4 linked regions of the Ovis aries genome follow. The protein of the gene in region 3 interacts with the protein of the main gene of each other region in a pairwise test. Links are inferred from orthologs where the notes say so. Each region holds a gene or a part of one and is shown on either strand. Other genes may lie near its edges.

What was found.
Region 1: the proteins of MARCHF2 (region 3) and LDLRAD1 interact in binary tests that used the Homo sapiens proteins (3 or more experiments, as listed by UniProt). The two-hybrid records come from large-scale screens. The link is inferred for Ovis aries from reciprocal best matches to the Homo sapiens genes MARCHF2 and LDLRAD1.
Region 2: the proteins of MARCHF2 (region 3) and FATE1 interact in binary tests that used the Homo sapiens proteins (3 or more experiments, as listed by UniProt). The two-hybrid records come from large-scale screens. The link is inferred for Ovis aries from reciprocal best matches to the Homo sapiens genes MARCHF2 and FATE1.
Region 4: the proteins of MARCHF2 (region 3) and FURIN interact in a protein complementation assay, tested with the Homo sapiens proteins (2 studies listed by BioGRID). The link is inferred for Ovis aries from reciprocal best matches to the Homo sapiens genes MARCHF2 and FURIN.

Annotation. Positions count from the first base shown.
Region 1 is NC_056054.1:28,543,904-28,547,908, forward strand, and holds the start of LDLRAD1 (low-density lipoprotein receptor class A domain-containing protein 1), read right to left. Parts: upstream 2,801-4,005; 5' UTR 2,708-2,800; coding exon 2,687-2,707; intron 2,183-2,686; coding exon 2,128-2,182; intron 1,312-2,127; exon of another isoform or gene 1-1,311.
Region 2 is NC_056080.1:84,015,895-84,020,190, forward strand, and holds the start of FATE1 (fetal and adult testis-expressed transcript protein), read right to left. Parts: upstream 2,801-4,296; 5' UTR 2,742-2,800; coding exon 2,633-2,741; intron 1,687-2,632; coding exon 1,571-1,686; intron 1-1,570. UniProt on the Homo sapiens protein: Involved in the regulation of endoplasmic reticulum (ER)-mitochondria coupling. Negatively regulates the ER-mitochondria distance and Ca(2+) transfer from ER to mitochondria possibly implicating it in the regulation of apoptosis.
Region 3 is NC_056058.1:14,792,324-14,794,704, reverse strand, and holds part of MARCHF2 (E3 ubiquitin-protein ligase MARCHF2), read right to left. Parts: intron 1,325-2,381; coding exon 1,115-1,324; intron 1-1,114. UniProt on the Homo sapiens protein: E3 ubiquitin-protein ligase that may mediate ubiquitination of TFRC and CD86, and promote their subsequent endocytosis and sorting to lysosomes via multivesicular bodies.
Region 4 is NC_056071.1:21,104,155-21,108,454, forward strand, and holds the start of FURIN (furin), read right to left. Parts: upstream 2,801-4,300; 5' UTR 2,763-2,800; intron 2,223-2,762; exon of another isoform or gene 1,964-2,222; intron 1,469-1,963; exon of another isoform or gene 1,299-1,468; intron 1-1,298. UniProt on the Homo sapiens protein: Ubiquitous endoprotease within constitutive secretory pathways capable of cleavage at the RX(K/R)R consensus motif. Mediates processing of TGFB1, an essential step in TGF-beta-1 activation.

The DNA.
Region 1 (4,005 bases), on a different chromosome or scaffold from region 3:
AGTGATTGTTCCTTCTGGAACCTGCCAGGATGCTGGTTGGAATCCCAGCTCCACCACTTTTCAGCTGGGCCACACTGAGAAGCCCCTTTACTTCTCTGTGCCTGTTTTCCTCATGTGGGAAATGGGGCTCCAATGCCTACATTAGAATTGTTGAGAGGATTGAGCTAGGTACTGGATCAGAACAGGGCTTGGTACATAGTAAGTGCTATAAAGGTTCTAGCTACTATTTGTCTTTATTGAGCGTCTACTATGTGCCAATCTGGAAATGATAGTGACACCTTTAACTGACTTTGCTCCTGAATTTTTTCTGGCTTTTGAAATAATGAAAGAAAATCTTATTGGGGACCTTCTAAGTTCCCTGGTGGCTCAGATGGCCTGCAACATGGGAGACCCAGGTTCAATCCCTGGGTCGGGAAGATCCCCTGGAGAAGGAAATGGCAACCCACTCCAGTACTCCTGCCTGGAGGATCCTGGCAGGTTACAGTCCATGGGGTTGCAAAGAGCTGAACATGACTGAGTGACTAACACCAGGTGCCCTGCTCTGTAGAGGACATAAAAGCAAGCACATCTCTGACCCTTGCCCTCCAAAAGCTTGCAGTCTCACTTAGAAGACAAGGTCTGGACACAAAAACAAGAGCGTGAGCGCTTCTCTGTCCCCCGGGGACTATTTTCTGAGGGAAGGGCAGGGGCATGTGTCCCCAGAGGTCAGCCCAGCAGCAGGCACACGATAGGTGCCTTGGGAAGAACCCAGTTCGAGTCAGTTCAGGTCTCTTCCATACAGTCCACTCACATTTTCAGAGCAGCCTGCTCTGTGCTGGTCCATCAGGCAGACCAGTACCTGTACCCCAGCAGCTCGCACAGCCAGGTGACCAAGGTGGTGAATGGGGCGTCCTGGGTGTTTGAAGGAGGATGGGATTTCCACGGGTGGGTGAGGGGAAGGTGCAAGGAGAGCGCAGTCCAAGTAGAGGGCCCAGGAGGGTAGAGGTCCTGATGGCATGTGGGGGACAGAAAGTGTGGCTGAAGCCCAGGGTGGGGGTACCTTGGGAAGGGAGAAATATTAGGAGACGCAGCATAAATCTAAAGCCCACATTCCTTGCAGCCTTGGTCAGTGGCTCCCTTGTAAACTCAGGTAACCAGGGAGACAGCGAGAAGGCTGGCAAGGAGAAGCGTCCTGGTCGGTCAGCCAAGCAGCTGCTTCTCAAATATTTGCGCAGCACAGGTGGGGCAGGAGGGGTCACAGGAGCGTCTCAGGGTCCATGGCCAGGTGAAGGTTGCACTTCAAAGCCTGAAAGCCCTTAAGTGCTGATCCCCCTGGGGACAGATGGGAAAAGGAGGCCATTATTCCATGCCAGGTCCTTCATAAAGCAGGGTTGAAATAAATGAATGCCACTGTGTAGCAAAAAGATACTGGGGCTCTGCAAGCCGAGGGACCCTAATTTGAATTTGAACCCTGCCTCACGCCTCCCATCCGTGCGGGATCCCAGTTTGGCTGAACCACCCGACCTCACGTCACCTCAGCTGCCTCATCTGCTATTGCACCGAACAAGAGACCCCCTCGGAGCTGACCATTGGGTGTAGAAGAGGCCCCATGGTGCTGGGCACACAGTAGGGCCTTGATCCTTGATAGTTATTAATAGTAGCTACCTCTCTGGGTCTCTCCCCTCAGTGGTCAAGTGAGAGTCAAGATTGGACACATAGTAGGTGCTCAATAAAAGTATTTTTTTCTTCTTATTCCACAGAAGTAAAGCACACTGTCCTGGTCACTTGGTGAGCCTGTGGCTGAGAGCAGGTGCTCAGTAAATGTGAGATCCCTCCCACCTTATCCCTCAGAGGTAGAGACCCACCTGGGTCACCCTGAGTCAGGGACTGGCCTCTAGAGCTCTTTCCTCTATGGGTTTTGGGGGGCAGTGTATGTCTGTGGGGGTGGGCAGCACATGAGCTTATGCATTTAGCAAATGGCCATCAGTACAGATGGCTGGGACACTGGGAATGGATGACATCAACAATGGGGCAGAGGTCTGAGAGACAGAGCCTTAGGGAGCTGCTTTTGTGTCTCCATAGCAACCGCCCAGCATCAAGGAAGTCCCATGTGGGGGAGGGGCTGGCCCCAGGTCCCCCGGCCTTTACCTTCCCCTCCAGGGAGGGCTTTGCTTCCAGCAGCAGCATTGCCATTGGCATCCCCCTGCCCAAGAGAAGAGAATGTGGGGTGGGCTGAGGTGAGGGGAGGTCCAGCCTCAGGCAGCTAGACTGAAAAGTTTTTCAGAAGCCTCACAAGAGCCTTGGGTGGAAACACTGGCCCTCCCACTCGGCTGCCCCACACTCATGTCTGCTTTATGTTCCCACACTTTTGCCTGTACTGTGCCCTTTGCCTGGAAAGCCTTTTCCTCCACTGCCTATTTGGCAAACATTCATCCTTCAAACCAGCTCAGGGGGTACCCCCTTGGAGAAGCTCCCCAGGCGCCCCCCCTTAATGTTGATCATTCCCTCCCCTGGCCTCCTGTCCCCTCCCAGCTCTCACTGCCTGAACCATGTACCTGGTTCACCTGTTGCATCTCCCTACAACGTGGTAGAGAGCCTCCGGGGCGGTGGGGGACCTGTGTCTCCCTTCTTTACTGCCCACCCTTATCCCGGGGTTTGCCCCGCGCCCTGCCCCCCAGGTCAGGAGCCTTCTCGGGGCAGCTCTTACCTGGGGGGAGATCTTGTTCATGTCTCCGGCTCCCAGCTCCAGTCTCCGGCCCTGGCAGTGCAGAAAACTTGCCAGGTTCCCGGCCTGTCACCAAGGGCAGCTAGGAAAAGGAATGACAGGAGGCCTTTCCTGGCCGCACCCTCCCTGTGGGCAGGCTCCTCCCAGGCTGCCTCCTGAGAAGAGGAGAGGGCAGGAGGGCCCTGCTCCGGCCTGGCCTCTTCCCTCTCTGCAGGCTGACAGCCACGCTCCAACGCCAGAATTCTCTATGTGAGAGAAGAGTCTGAGGTTCAGAGAGCGAGAAACTGCCCTTGAGTCACATGGTGCAGGGTTGAGAGGGAAGCTGAACCCAGAAATTTTTCAGTGTGTGATTTTTCTCCACATCGATGATGAGATGGAGGATCTCAGGTCCCCCCCAGCTGCATGAAGATCCAGGCGGAAATACCCAGAATTAAGGTTCTAGTGGCTAAAAAGCAGGGATCGTGCTTTCATTGATATTTGTTCAATGAAACACATAATCTATGTGGAAAGAATATGTGTTTTCCACTAAAACGATAGGTCACTTAACCTGAGTTTCAGCTTTCTCATCTGTCTCTTGAAACTTCTTTTCCCCTCATCCTGAAGAAAGGCGGTGCCCCCGTAGATGGATCTCTTTGTCCTCCCCACTCAACACCCAACACACTCTCTAGAAATACACACACACATATATCTGGAATCACACTGCAGGGGCCCCCAACTTCACCAGATACTACCCAACCACTCTTCCAGGAGGCTGTACCAGTTTGCACCCCCATTAGCAGTGACAAGAGTGTCTGTGTCCTCAGTCTTGAAAGTGTCAGACTTTCTGACCTCCATCCGCCTCTGGTGGGTGTGAAATGCTATCTTACTGTGGTTTAGTTTGCGTTTCTCTAGTAACTCCTATTGCCACCACCAACTGCTAACATGTACTGAACGCTTGTCTTGTCACATGCTGCACTACAGGTGTTACATATGTTAACCCACTTAGTCCTCCTGACCACAAATGATGGAGACTATTATCATCTCCATTTCACAGATGAGGAAATTGAGGCACAGAAACATTGTTACTTGCCCAAGGTTCACAGTTGAAAGGAGGCATAGCTGCGTTATAGATGTGGGTGGCTGAGAAGTTCACACATTACCTCTACCTATCTCCTCACTTCTCAAAAGTGTGGTCCTCGGACCAGCAGGACCTCATCATGTGTGAGAGACGGAATCCCATCCAGGCCCACAAAGCCAGAACCTGCATTTTAACAAGAGCTTTAGGAGGCTCAAATGCATATTCAGTTTGAAAAGCCCTGCCC
Region 2 (4,296 bases), on a different chromosome or scaffold from region 3:
AGGAGGAGAAGGGGACAATAGAGGATGGGATGGTTGGATGGCATCACTGACTCAATGGACATGAGTTTGGGTAACCTTCAGGAGTTGGTGATGGACAGGGAGGCCTGGCGTGCTGTGGTTCATGGGGTCACAAAGAGTCGGACACGACTGAGCGACTGAACTGAACTGAACTGAATGCAACAACATGGCCACCATTTTCTCTACAACATTCCCTCATATGGTTAGTATAATTTTAAAAATTCATTACAGAGGAACAAAATGTAACTCGGCTGATTTTCTAGAACATCAGGTCTTCCTGCCTCTCCAGTCAATTTGCCTTCCCTCTACCTCCTATAACCTTTGCAACAGTAAAACAACCATGTTTCTAAAATTGCCAGCATCTGCAGCAAAAGTAGCTTACTTATCAGATGGGCTACAAAACATGAGACTCACATGATTGCCTGGAACACTCAGGTCTCCCTCCTCTCCAAAGGTGTTGCCCTTTCCCAGTAAACGTGCAGTGGTTTAACAACTATGTTTCTAAAATTTTCTGTCACCCAAGATGAATGTAGTTAAAAGAATTGGCTACAGAAGGATGATGGGATTCATGTGATTCCCAAGAAGAGTCAGGACTTTCTCTTCTCCAAAATGACTGCCTTTTCTCAGTATCTTTTGCAACAGTATAGCCACCATTTTTTCTAGAACATTCCCTCACTCATATAGAATGTAACTTAAAGGATTGGCTACAAAATGCTCAGATTCAATTGACTGGATTTCCTAGTAGCCAGAGAGCATAGGCATTTCACTTGCCTTACCCTAGTCCCAGCCCTAAGATAGATATAGATACATGTATATCTATATTTATATATGCTTAGAGATATATATACAACCCTGTATATTCATTGGAAGGATGGTTGCTGAAGCTACAGTACTTTGGCCATCTGATGCAAAGAGCCAACTCACTGGAAAAGACCCTGATGTTGGGAAAGATTAAACGGAAAAGGAGAAGGGGGCAGCAGAGGATTAGATGGTTAGATAGCATCACTGACTCAATTGACATTTATTAGAGCAAATTCTGGGAGATAGTGGAGGAGAGGGAAGCCTGGCATGCTGCAGTCCATGGGGATTCAAAAAGTCAGACATAACTTAGAGACTAAACAGCAACTATATATATATATATATATATATATATATATATATATATATATAATGATTTTTATACTTTTGCATATTTCTATATAGAAATATATATAGAGAGTAGACATAACATATAGATATATACATATATACATATAGAGATTCAAATATAGATATATTTACTAATTTATTAATAAAAGAAAGTAGATATGTACTCCACAAGCAATGTGTGTTTCAGACATTCTGGACCCTCAAGGTTGAACTAACAAAGAATGGCCATGATCTCTTGCCAGACCTTGTTGCCCTCATTTGCCTGCCCAGAACACAGGAGCTTTGTCCTTCCCCCAAAGTCAACATCTGCCCTGCTTGACCTACCATCTCCATACCAGAGCTGCTACAACTGTAGCAAACTCCCCCAAACTCAAGCTAGCCACCAAATGCCATACAGTACCACCTTCTTGGACTGGTTTGCAGCCATATTCCAAACCGCAGCAGAGCCAACAGCCTTTGGATCCACCTTCTGTCGCCGCTGAGAAGCACCCAGCAACCGAGATATATGCTCCTTCATTTCTAGGGAGAAGAACAGAGGCCCAAGGAATACCCATAGAGGCTATCCCAAGGTTTCATGGGCACAGAACACACCAAAAAATAGGATAGGGTCCCCCAACATCTTAGGAAGCACTCAACACCCATTCTCTGGCATCTACTGGCTAATCTCAGGTCTCAATTTCTTCATGTACTCAAAATATAGTAAGTGTTTACTGAGTGTCAAGCTCTGGGCTAGGTTCTTAAAGAGCAAGCAATGGCCAAGAAATAAGATCACAGCAATAAAAAATTGATTGTTTGTGTGTGTACAGAGAAAGTGGTAACGAGAGTGGGGGTTATAGGAAATAATCCATCAGTGCAAATCAAGAGATGCATGCTCCCAAAACAATAAAAACAGGATAACAAGACAGAAGGAAGGGGATACTTCTAGAAAAGTCAGAGACAACACTGAGGCAGAGACCTGAAAGAGAAAGAGTCCAGCCATAGAAAATCTGAGGAAAGAGGGAACACATAGTGAAAAGGCTGTGAAGAAGAAAGAGTCTTGGGATGTTACAGGACAGGCTTAAAGGCACTGTGGACTGAGTCAGCATGCCACAGCAGGAAGTATATTGAGGAGGTGACCTTATGTGGATCTTGTAGATCATGGAAAGGAGCTTTACTCTAAAGGGCAGAAGAAGGTACTGGAAGGTTAGGAGAGAGAATTGCTTTGAATGATCTTATAAATTGAACCCACTGAGTGTTTTGCATTAAGATCCACTGGTGGCTTGCAATGGGAGGGGTGTTCATCCAACCTTCCCCGTCACACGCTACAAAAGGCTCACTTTTATCAATCCCATTACCTCACACACAGGTACCCACAAATACATGCAAACACACATTCATGCTTCTGCCAAGCCAAACCTGCGCATTTTCTAACATGCATGCACAGGTGTAGATACCCAAGGGAAGGGACATTACGGGGGATCCTCACCTGCTGCCACTGAGCGCTCTTGGTTATCCCTAAAGCTTCCAAGAAGCAGGTCTTCATCCTTTGGCACTTGCATCTTTTCCTTGAGGTTAGGGACTGCTCCTCCTGCCATCACCACCAATTGTAAGCAATGGCCAAGAAGGCACAGGGTCCAAGGCTCGGAGGAGGCTTGGGAAATCAGCTCTCTGCGGAAGATATATCTGGACACAGGGGTGGAGCCAGACTCCCACTTTGAGTTCAAGCATTAGACCCAGCACCTCCTGTTCCTGCTGTATCTTGCTGGCTGGGTTCAAGGTCTTCTTCTCTGCTACTCTGTAAGCAACTTAGGAGAAGCGATAGACTCTGAATCTTTGCCTGGGAAAGCTGCCCTGGCTCTCAGCTCATCCGATTTGACCTCATTTCTAGATAGAGGGAGGGGCTGGCACAGGACTCCAGAGTTGGTCAGTGGCCAAAGCAGGTTTAGATCCCACCGTGGTTTCTGCAAGGCCAGCTTTGGTTAACAGTCCAGGCCATAGCCCCCTTCAGAAAGCATCCTCTACAGAGCACATCCTGCCTTACCCCATCCAGAATTCCCAGGCAAGGGACATGACTTTTGACACCCTGGATCATCCTGGACAGGAACCATGAAAACCAAAGGAGAGATGTGCAGAAGAGGGGCCTGCTTACTGGAGCCTCCAGTGTCCCCAGCCCTGCACCCCCTATTCTAAGTCAAATTTTCCCTCAGCTTCCCTACTGAATAGACCTCAGTGGTCATGTTTATGGTCCATGTGGCTAGCCTAAGGTCTCCAGTTATTCCATCACGTGCTGGTCTAGATGTTTCTATCAAGGCACTTTTTGTAGCTGTTGATGTCTATAATCAGTGGACTTTAAGTAAAGGACATTGTGTATCCTTGATACTGTGAATGGGCCTCATTCAATCAGCTGTAGGCCTTAAGAACAAAGACTGAGGTTTCCCAGAGAAGAAATTCTGCTCAAGACTACACCTCAACCCCTCCCTAACATTCCAACCTGCTGACTTGTCCTGCAAATTTTGGCCTTGCTAGCTCTATGATGGCATGAGCCAAATTCTTTAAATAAAATTTTCTTTACACACACATATATGCATAGTGAGTCAGTGGTAAAAAAAAATCCACCTGCCAGTTCAGGAAACCCAGATTTGATCCCTGGGTTGAGAAGATCCCTTGGAGAATGGAATGGCAACCCACTCCAGTATTCTTGTCTGGGAAATCCCATGGCCAGAGGAGCCTGGTGGGCTACAGTCCATGGGGTTGCAAAGAGTCAGATATGACTCAGTGAGTGAGTGCAACAATACATATACATACACATACATACCTCCTATTGGTTCCATTTCTCTGGAGAACTCTGACTCATACAGCCACCGAAGGTGAACCCTCAGCTCTTGGGAATAGCCTCAGAGCTCCTGAGGAAGAGGAGGCTATTTGTAAAGAAACCAAGCACAATTGGGGCCAGGTGGGAGGGAGAGGAGGACAGGGGGAGGGGGAGGAGAGGAAGGGAGGAAGGAAAAAGTGAGGGAGAAGAAAGTGAGGGGCCAACTCCCTTAGAGAGGGCGGCTGATCTGGGTTGCCTAACCCCCTCCCTGGTCCCACCTGTCCAGTGCTAGGAACAAGCTCTCTAGAACAGAGCTTACAAAGGCCCTGCCTGCATTC
Region 3 (2,381 bases):
TCTGTGCGACCCCATGGACTGTAGCCCAGCAGGCTCCTCCATCCATGGGATTTTCCAGGCAAGAGTACTGGAGTAGGGTGCCATTGCCTTCTCCACTTGAACTGCTCTAGTGAATCAAATCTGTTAAAAAAAATTTTTTTTTCCCAGTAAATGTCAGTGGTTCCTACTCTTTGACCAAGGAAGTTCCAAGAAACATTTGCACGGGTGGCACCCAAAGCACTGTTTATAACAGCAAATAAAGGAGAAGGAAAAAAAATTGGAATAATCCCTATGTCCATCAAAAGAGATTAGTTAAATAAATATAGCACACCCACACAATGAAGGACTGTTGGGTGACTGCCTCTCTTTTTTTTAAGGACATTAGCAAAGTGAAAACAAGCAGACTGCAAAGCAGGACCTATGATGCATCCTACTTGTATTAAGAAATCTGCTTGGTGGGTGCACTGCAAATAATTCTTGAGGAGGGGGCACCCCCATAGCTGTGGTTCTATCTGTGGGACCTTCCCCCCTTCTCATGCCTGCCAGAACCCGGGGACAACACCCTCACCACACTCACTCTCTCCCAACCCCAGTCACCTTTTCTCTCAGTCTCTTTGTTTTTTATTTTTTGGCTGCACCACATGGCCTGTGGGACCTTAGTTCCCTGACCAGGGATCAAACCAAGTCCCCTGCACTGGCAGCCTTAACCATTGGACTGCCAGGGAAGTCTCGCTCAGTCTCTTGATCGTCCTCTCTGTCTCTCTCATTCTCCTGCCTTTTCTTCCACAGTCTTTCCAGTGGCTCTCAGCCTCTTCTCCCTTCCCCTTGCCCCCAAAACCCAGACAACCAGGTCTTAATGGGACTCGTGGCTAGCGCAGCCTGCACTCAGCTGAAGTGATCCCATGATCTTGCATTCCTCGGGCAGAAGCCTCACGCTTGGCTCCTGGGACCTCAAACCGGCCTGGAATCTGGAGCTCCATGAGATGCTGGGAGTTGCTTCCACCCCACGTGCCAGCCACAAGCCCAGGCAGGCAGAGTGCCGCCCCATCCTCCACCCCAGCTCCATCCAAGTTGCTGCCCAAGCCCCTGACCTGTCTGCTCCCAGATGCCTGCTGTCTGGCTGGAAGCCACTCACCAGTGTCCAGAGGACATAGATGGTGAACAAGGCGATGGTGAGGGCGATCAGTCCCAAGGCCTCCAGATGGCTGTGGAGCCGGAGGTGGTCCTGGGCGCCTCGCAGGCACAGCCAGCCTGAGATAGCGGCCAGTGGCGTGATGAACAGGAAGCACACCACGTCACAGCACAGCGTCCGCTTCTCTGTCCGAGGCCCAGGGTCCTTCAGCCACTGCGGGGAAGGAGGGAGGGGAAGCCGGTGAGAGGGACCACCACACACCGCCCTGCTACGAGCCTATGCCAGGGGATGGGGCATCAGGGCACTCTCTGCAGACACCCATCTTCATCACTGTTCCTGCAGGACCCTACTCCTGCCTTGCCTCCTGCAATCCTTTCTTTCCTTCAGATACTTACTGAGATGACGACAGGACAGGCCTGGGTAGGTGCAGGGCATTTCTGCCCCTGGTTTTGTTTTGTTTTGTTGCCACATCACGAGGCTTGCAGGATCTTAGTTCCCCGACCAGAGATAGAACCTGCACCTCCTGCAGTGGAAGCTCAGTCGTGTCTGACTCTCTGTGATCCCATGGACTGTGGCCCACCAGGTTCCTCTGTCCATGGGATTCACCAGGCAAGAATACTGGAGCAGGTTGCTGTGTCCTCCTACAGGGAATTTTCCCGACCCAGGGATCGAACCTGCATCTCTTGCATCTCCTGCACTGGCAGGCAGATTTTATTTTATTTTTTCCCCACTGAGCCACCTGGGAGGCCCTAGTTGAAGTGCGGAGTTTAACCACTGGACTGCCACGGAAGTCCCATGCCTATTTTACAGATGGGGGAAATGGAGGGCATAGAGGGGCTGACTCCTTTGTGCAAACTCACATGGCTAGTGGTCTACAAAGCCAGAACTGGAGCCCAGGAAGTCTTGCCTCAGGGTCTGTGTGTCCTTGGCTGCTATGCTACACTGCCTGCCACAGATGACCGGTGGTAGGAATCCCTGCCTGCAGCTCCCCTGCTGGTTGGAGGAGAGATGAAATGACTGAATGATCAAGGTGGGGACTGCTATGCTGAAGAGGTAAGGCTGCAGAAACTCAATCGAGCAGAACGAACCTCGTGAGGAATGGGGGAGACGTGCTCCAGGCTGCAGAAACAGCATGTGCAAAGGCCCTGGGGTGGAAGCATGTGCTCCACACGACGGGCAGTGGGGAGAGGGTGAGCTGTGTGCACAGGCCGGCTTGCTCTCCCACTGTTCTCTTAAGAGTAGGTCCTAGGCGGGCCAGGGGCTCTTCCAG
Region 4 (4,300 bases), on a different chromosome or scaffold from region 3:
TTGGGGAGGGGGAGGGTTGGGGGTGGGGGGCGTTGAAGGGGCCCTGTGCCCTCACTTAACAGAGGATGTAGAGCCTTAGGGGCAGGGCCTTATAGAAACAAGTTCTCATCTCCCCTTCCTGACACAAGAGCTGCCTCTTGGGTTCAGATGTCAAGCAAGGCCACCTCCTGACCCCAGTGCTATGAGCCACATTGGACCCCCCCCATATACACATCAAGACCGGATTCATCTGGGTCTAGCCCAAGTTCTGGCATATTGCGGGTGGAGCCACAGCTGCTTGTTGATAAAGGTGATTATTTAATTACCTTGCAGGACCCGAAAAGGAAGCGGGCTTCAGGCACAACCAAATAATCCTCCAAGAAAGGACTGGCCTCCGTCTGCTCAGCATCCCCAGACACGCTGAGCCATGGATATGGCTTCCACAGAGCTTGAAGCCCCAAACAGCCCTGCCTCAGCATCCCGGAAGCAGGGAGGATGGCCCCCACCTCAAAGAACAGGCGCTAAGAACAATAAATGAATGGGCTTCTTTTCCCCACCCCCATCCTAGACTCTGACTCACCCTCTGAGTCCCTGCTCAGCTCAAACTGGTAGGCTTGCCATATTTCCAGCCTCCTGTGAAACCCTCTATGGGGCTCCACTCCAGACTTGGCCACAGAGAGACCTGTGGGTGCTCTTCCTGGCTGTGTTCTCTTCTCCCGCCCCAGGAAGCTCCCAACGCAGCCAGCCTCTCCAAGGCATCCGAACTGAACCTCACCCAGGTCCAGCTGCTGTTTCCCAGGCATCAGGGGGTCTGGCGTGGTCAGGGCTGCCTGGGAAAACTGGTTCTTTCTTTCCAGCAGAGACATCAAACCAGCTCCTGTAGCAGGCACTGATGGCTCCGCTGAAATTCTGAATCCCAGCCTTTGCTCAACTACTCATTTGCTATGTGATCTTAGGTCACTTCCTCTCTCTGTCTGGGCCTCAGTTTTCCTAGGTGGTAAAAACTGCTAGACCAGAGGTTTTCAAACTTTTTTTGAAAGCCACAGAATCCTCTTTAAAAAAAAAAAAAATCAAATATTATGTGGAAGCCCAATATAGGACATCGTAAAACTTGGGCGGCTCTAGAACAGGAGTCAAGCTTGGCTCCTCTCCTCGGCTGTCTCCACACCTGGCCAGCGGCTGCCCAGCCCTCACTAGGCCACATCACCTGGGTTTCCCTCCCATTTCCCGAGGCAAAAAGAATTTCGACACCCTCCTGTGGAGGAGGGTCTGTATCCCAGGGGTAAGGGGTGAGCGGACGGCGGGAAGGAGGCACTGACCTGACAACCGACTGCTGTTAAGACCTGTCTGGCATGCAGGCCACCCCACGGGGGCAGCAGGGGCTTCGGCCAGGCCTTCGCGGGAGCCAGCCTCCCCGCGCCCGCAGACCCCGCACCTGAGTGTCTCTCCGCCCAGGTGTGCGGGCGGGGACGAGGCCCCGGCGGTGAATAATCCCCTCCGCCCCGAGCAGCCGCTCCGCCCCTCCCCCGGCGGGAGCGCAGGCCCTCCCCAGCCACGGAGTGGGCGAGCCGGCGGCGGCTGCCCCCAAGGACGGCGGGGAGGCGGGAGCGCCCGGCGCCTCTGGAATCCTCTCCCCATCCCGCCCCCGGCGGCGGCCCCCGCGGGCGCTTCCTGGGGTCAGAGGGCTCGCCCCCGCCCCAGGCGGAAGAGCAGCGGCACCCGCGGGGGCCCAGCGCGCTCAGGTGGGCTGCGGGATGCCCTTCCTGCTCCCCGCGGCTCCACCCTCCGCGCCGGCCCGCGGGCCAGTTCCGAAAGCCGGGTGGGCATCGGGGCCCGGGCTGCCTCCGCGCCAGCGACCCCGACCCTTCTCCGGCCTGGGCGCTCGGGCCGCGGAGCCCGCTCCTCCGGCAGAGCGGCCCAGTCTCGTCGGGCCCGGCTCCCGGCGCGCTGCCTCCCCCCGGGGCCCGGCGCCCTCGCTGCTTACCCTAGGGAGCCCGGGCGGGGAAACTTTTCCAGGCGAGCGCCGGGGCGGCTCAGGCGCCCCTCGGCCGAGCGGAGAGCCCGGCTCCGGGGGGCCTGGGCTCGGCGCGGTCCCCGCGCCCGGCAGCAGCGTCACCGCGCAGAGGCGGGGAGGCGCGGCGGCGCGGCCTCGGCCGGGCCGGCGACCAGGGCAGGGCTCGGCCTCGGCTCCGGCTCCGGCGCGGGCGGGGGCAGCGGCCGGGCCGCGGCGGCGCGGCTTGTTTACTCGGGCCGCTGTCAGCGGCTGCGGCGGCCCGGGCTCCTCCTCCTCCGCCGCCGCGCCCCTCCCCCTCGCGGCGCCACCTCCGCGCTCCCGGCCGCCGCCGCCGCCCCGCCGGCCCGGCCCGCCGCGCCGCCCATGCCGCCCGGGCCCGGGCCCGGGCCCGCGTTCCAAGCAGGAGCGCCGGGGCCCCGAGGCCTTCCGGGGCGTCTGCCGCCTCCGGCTCCAGCTCGGGGCAGAGGTAGGAAGTGGGGCCGGCGATCCCAGAGCCCTCGCAGCCGCTCGGCGGGTCCCCCAGACCCCACTGCCAGCGCCCCCGCCCCCCGGGCTCGGCTGTTAGCCCCGCGAGCTCCCCGGGCCGGCGGCCGGGGAGACTTGAACTCGGCATCCCGGGCAAGGGTTGGGAAGGACTCGAGGAGTCACTCTGAGCCCAGTCTCGGCCGGATTCTGGGGGAGTTGGGCTTCATCCCCACCCCCAGCCACTTCCCCACTCCTAAGCCACGAGTTTGGGCACGACCGGGTTAAGTGCCCTGGGATGACGCACCTGGAGTACCCCCCTTGAGGTCGGTCTTCACCGCGTCTGGGCAAACTTCCTCGCGGCCTACAGTTAGAAGACTCACTACTTTATTTGCATTTATATAGACAGGTGGATGAGCAGAACAGCTAGCCCATCCCCTTTTAATTTTTTTAAACTTTTTTTTTCCAACTCCAACTGCCTGCCAGGAACCAGGTCAATCACTTTATATTATCTCCTTCTTATGTACATTATTTAATCTTCTTAATCCTTTCAGGCTGACGTTATCAATCCCATTTTACAGATAAGAAAACTGAGGCACACAAGGTTTAGATAATTTGCTGAAGATCCCACAACTAACAGGCCTCAGATCCCAGAAGAGATCTGGAGCTTTGGCAGAGCCTGAATCTGAGCTCCTTGCAATATACCAACCAGCTCCTCTCTCTCCCTGGGTCCCTGCCCTAGAAAACGTCTGTGCCACTTGGCTGAGACCATCACTGCTTGAGCTGAGAAAGAAAAGAGGGGAAGTGTAGCCCAGAGCTCCACAGGCTGGGTTATTTTAAGGTCACAGAGCAGTCCCTGCCCATCCCTTCCTGCCCCCTTTGCGATAACCTGGCAGAACAGTGTTATCCTGTGATCTCTTCAGTACAGGTTTGGGGATGATGAGGAAAACGGATCAGAATGTTCTGAGCTCTTTCCCATGTGTTAACTTGCTCCATGATTACCATGGATTCTGCAAGGTGGATGTAGTTTTCCTTTAGGCAGCTTTCATGTATCACTATCTGCGCTTTACACAGGAGGAAACTGAGGCCCAGAGAAGTTAGTAGCATTTGTAAAGTAACTCACTAGGTGACAGTCAACCCCTAAACCTGAGTTCAAGTCGAAACGGCACTATTTTAAACTGTGCCAACCTTAGACAATGATTTGAGCAAACTCTGGGAGATAGTAGGGAGACAGAATAGGAAATGGCAACCTACTCCAGTATTCTTGCCTGGGAAACTCCATGGACAAAGGAGCCTGGTGGGCTATAGTCCACGGGTCGCAAACAGTCAGATGCGACTGAGCACGTAACACTTTTACTTAACCGGAGATAATGTAGTTCAGAGGAGCCTGGCATGCTGCGGTCCATGGGACTGAAAAGAGTTGGACTTGGCTTAGCAACTGAACAGCAGTGACAAGACCTTAATTCTCGGAGCCTCAATTTACCCCTCTGTAAAATGGAGATAATATTGAACCAGTGAGATAACATACGATTTGGGTACCTACATGAACAGCACAAAACCTAGAAACTCGGGGAAGAATGTGGGGCCCTGAAATTTGAGCGGGGAGGTGAGTCGGGTTGGCCCTCTTTCTGAATGGGAACTGCTCTCCCCACCATGATCCCCAGGGAGCAGGCTCCTTGGGGCCACCCTGGGGTAGCCCCAGCTACACTTGGGAAAACAATGCTTCTGCAGTCAGACCTAGGCAGGAAGTGAGTCACGGTTCTTCCTAAGTCTGTGAGCAAGAGAACCCTGTTGAGGGGAAACAGGGACTGGGCTGGCCCCGCCTAGCCTCTGAGTCCCTCTGTG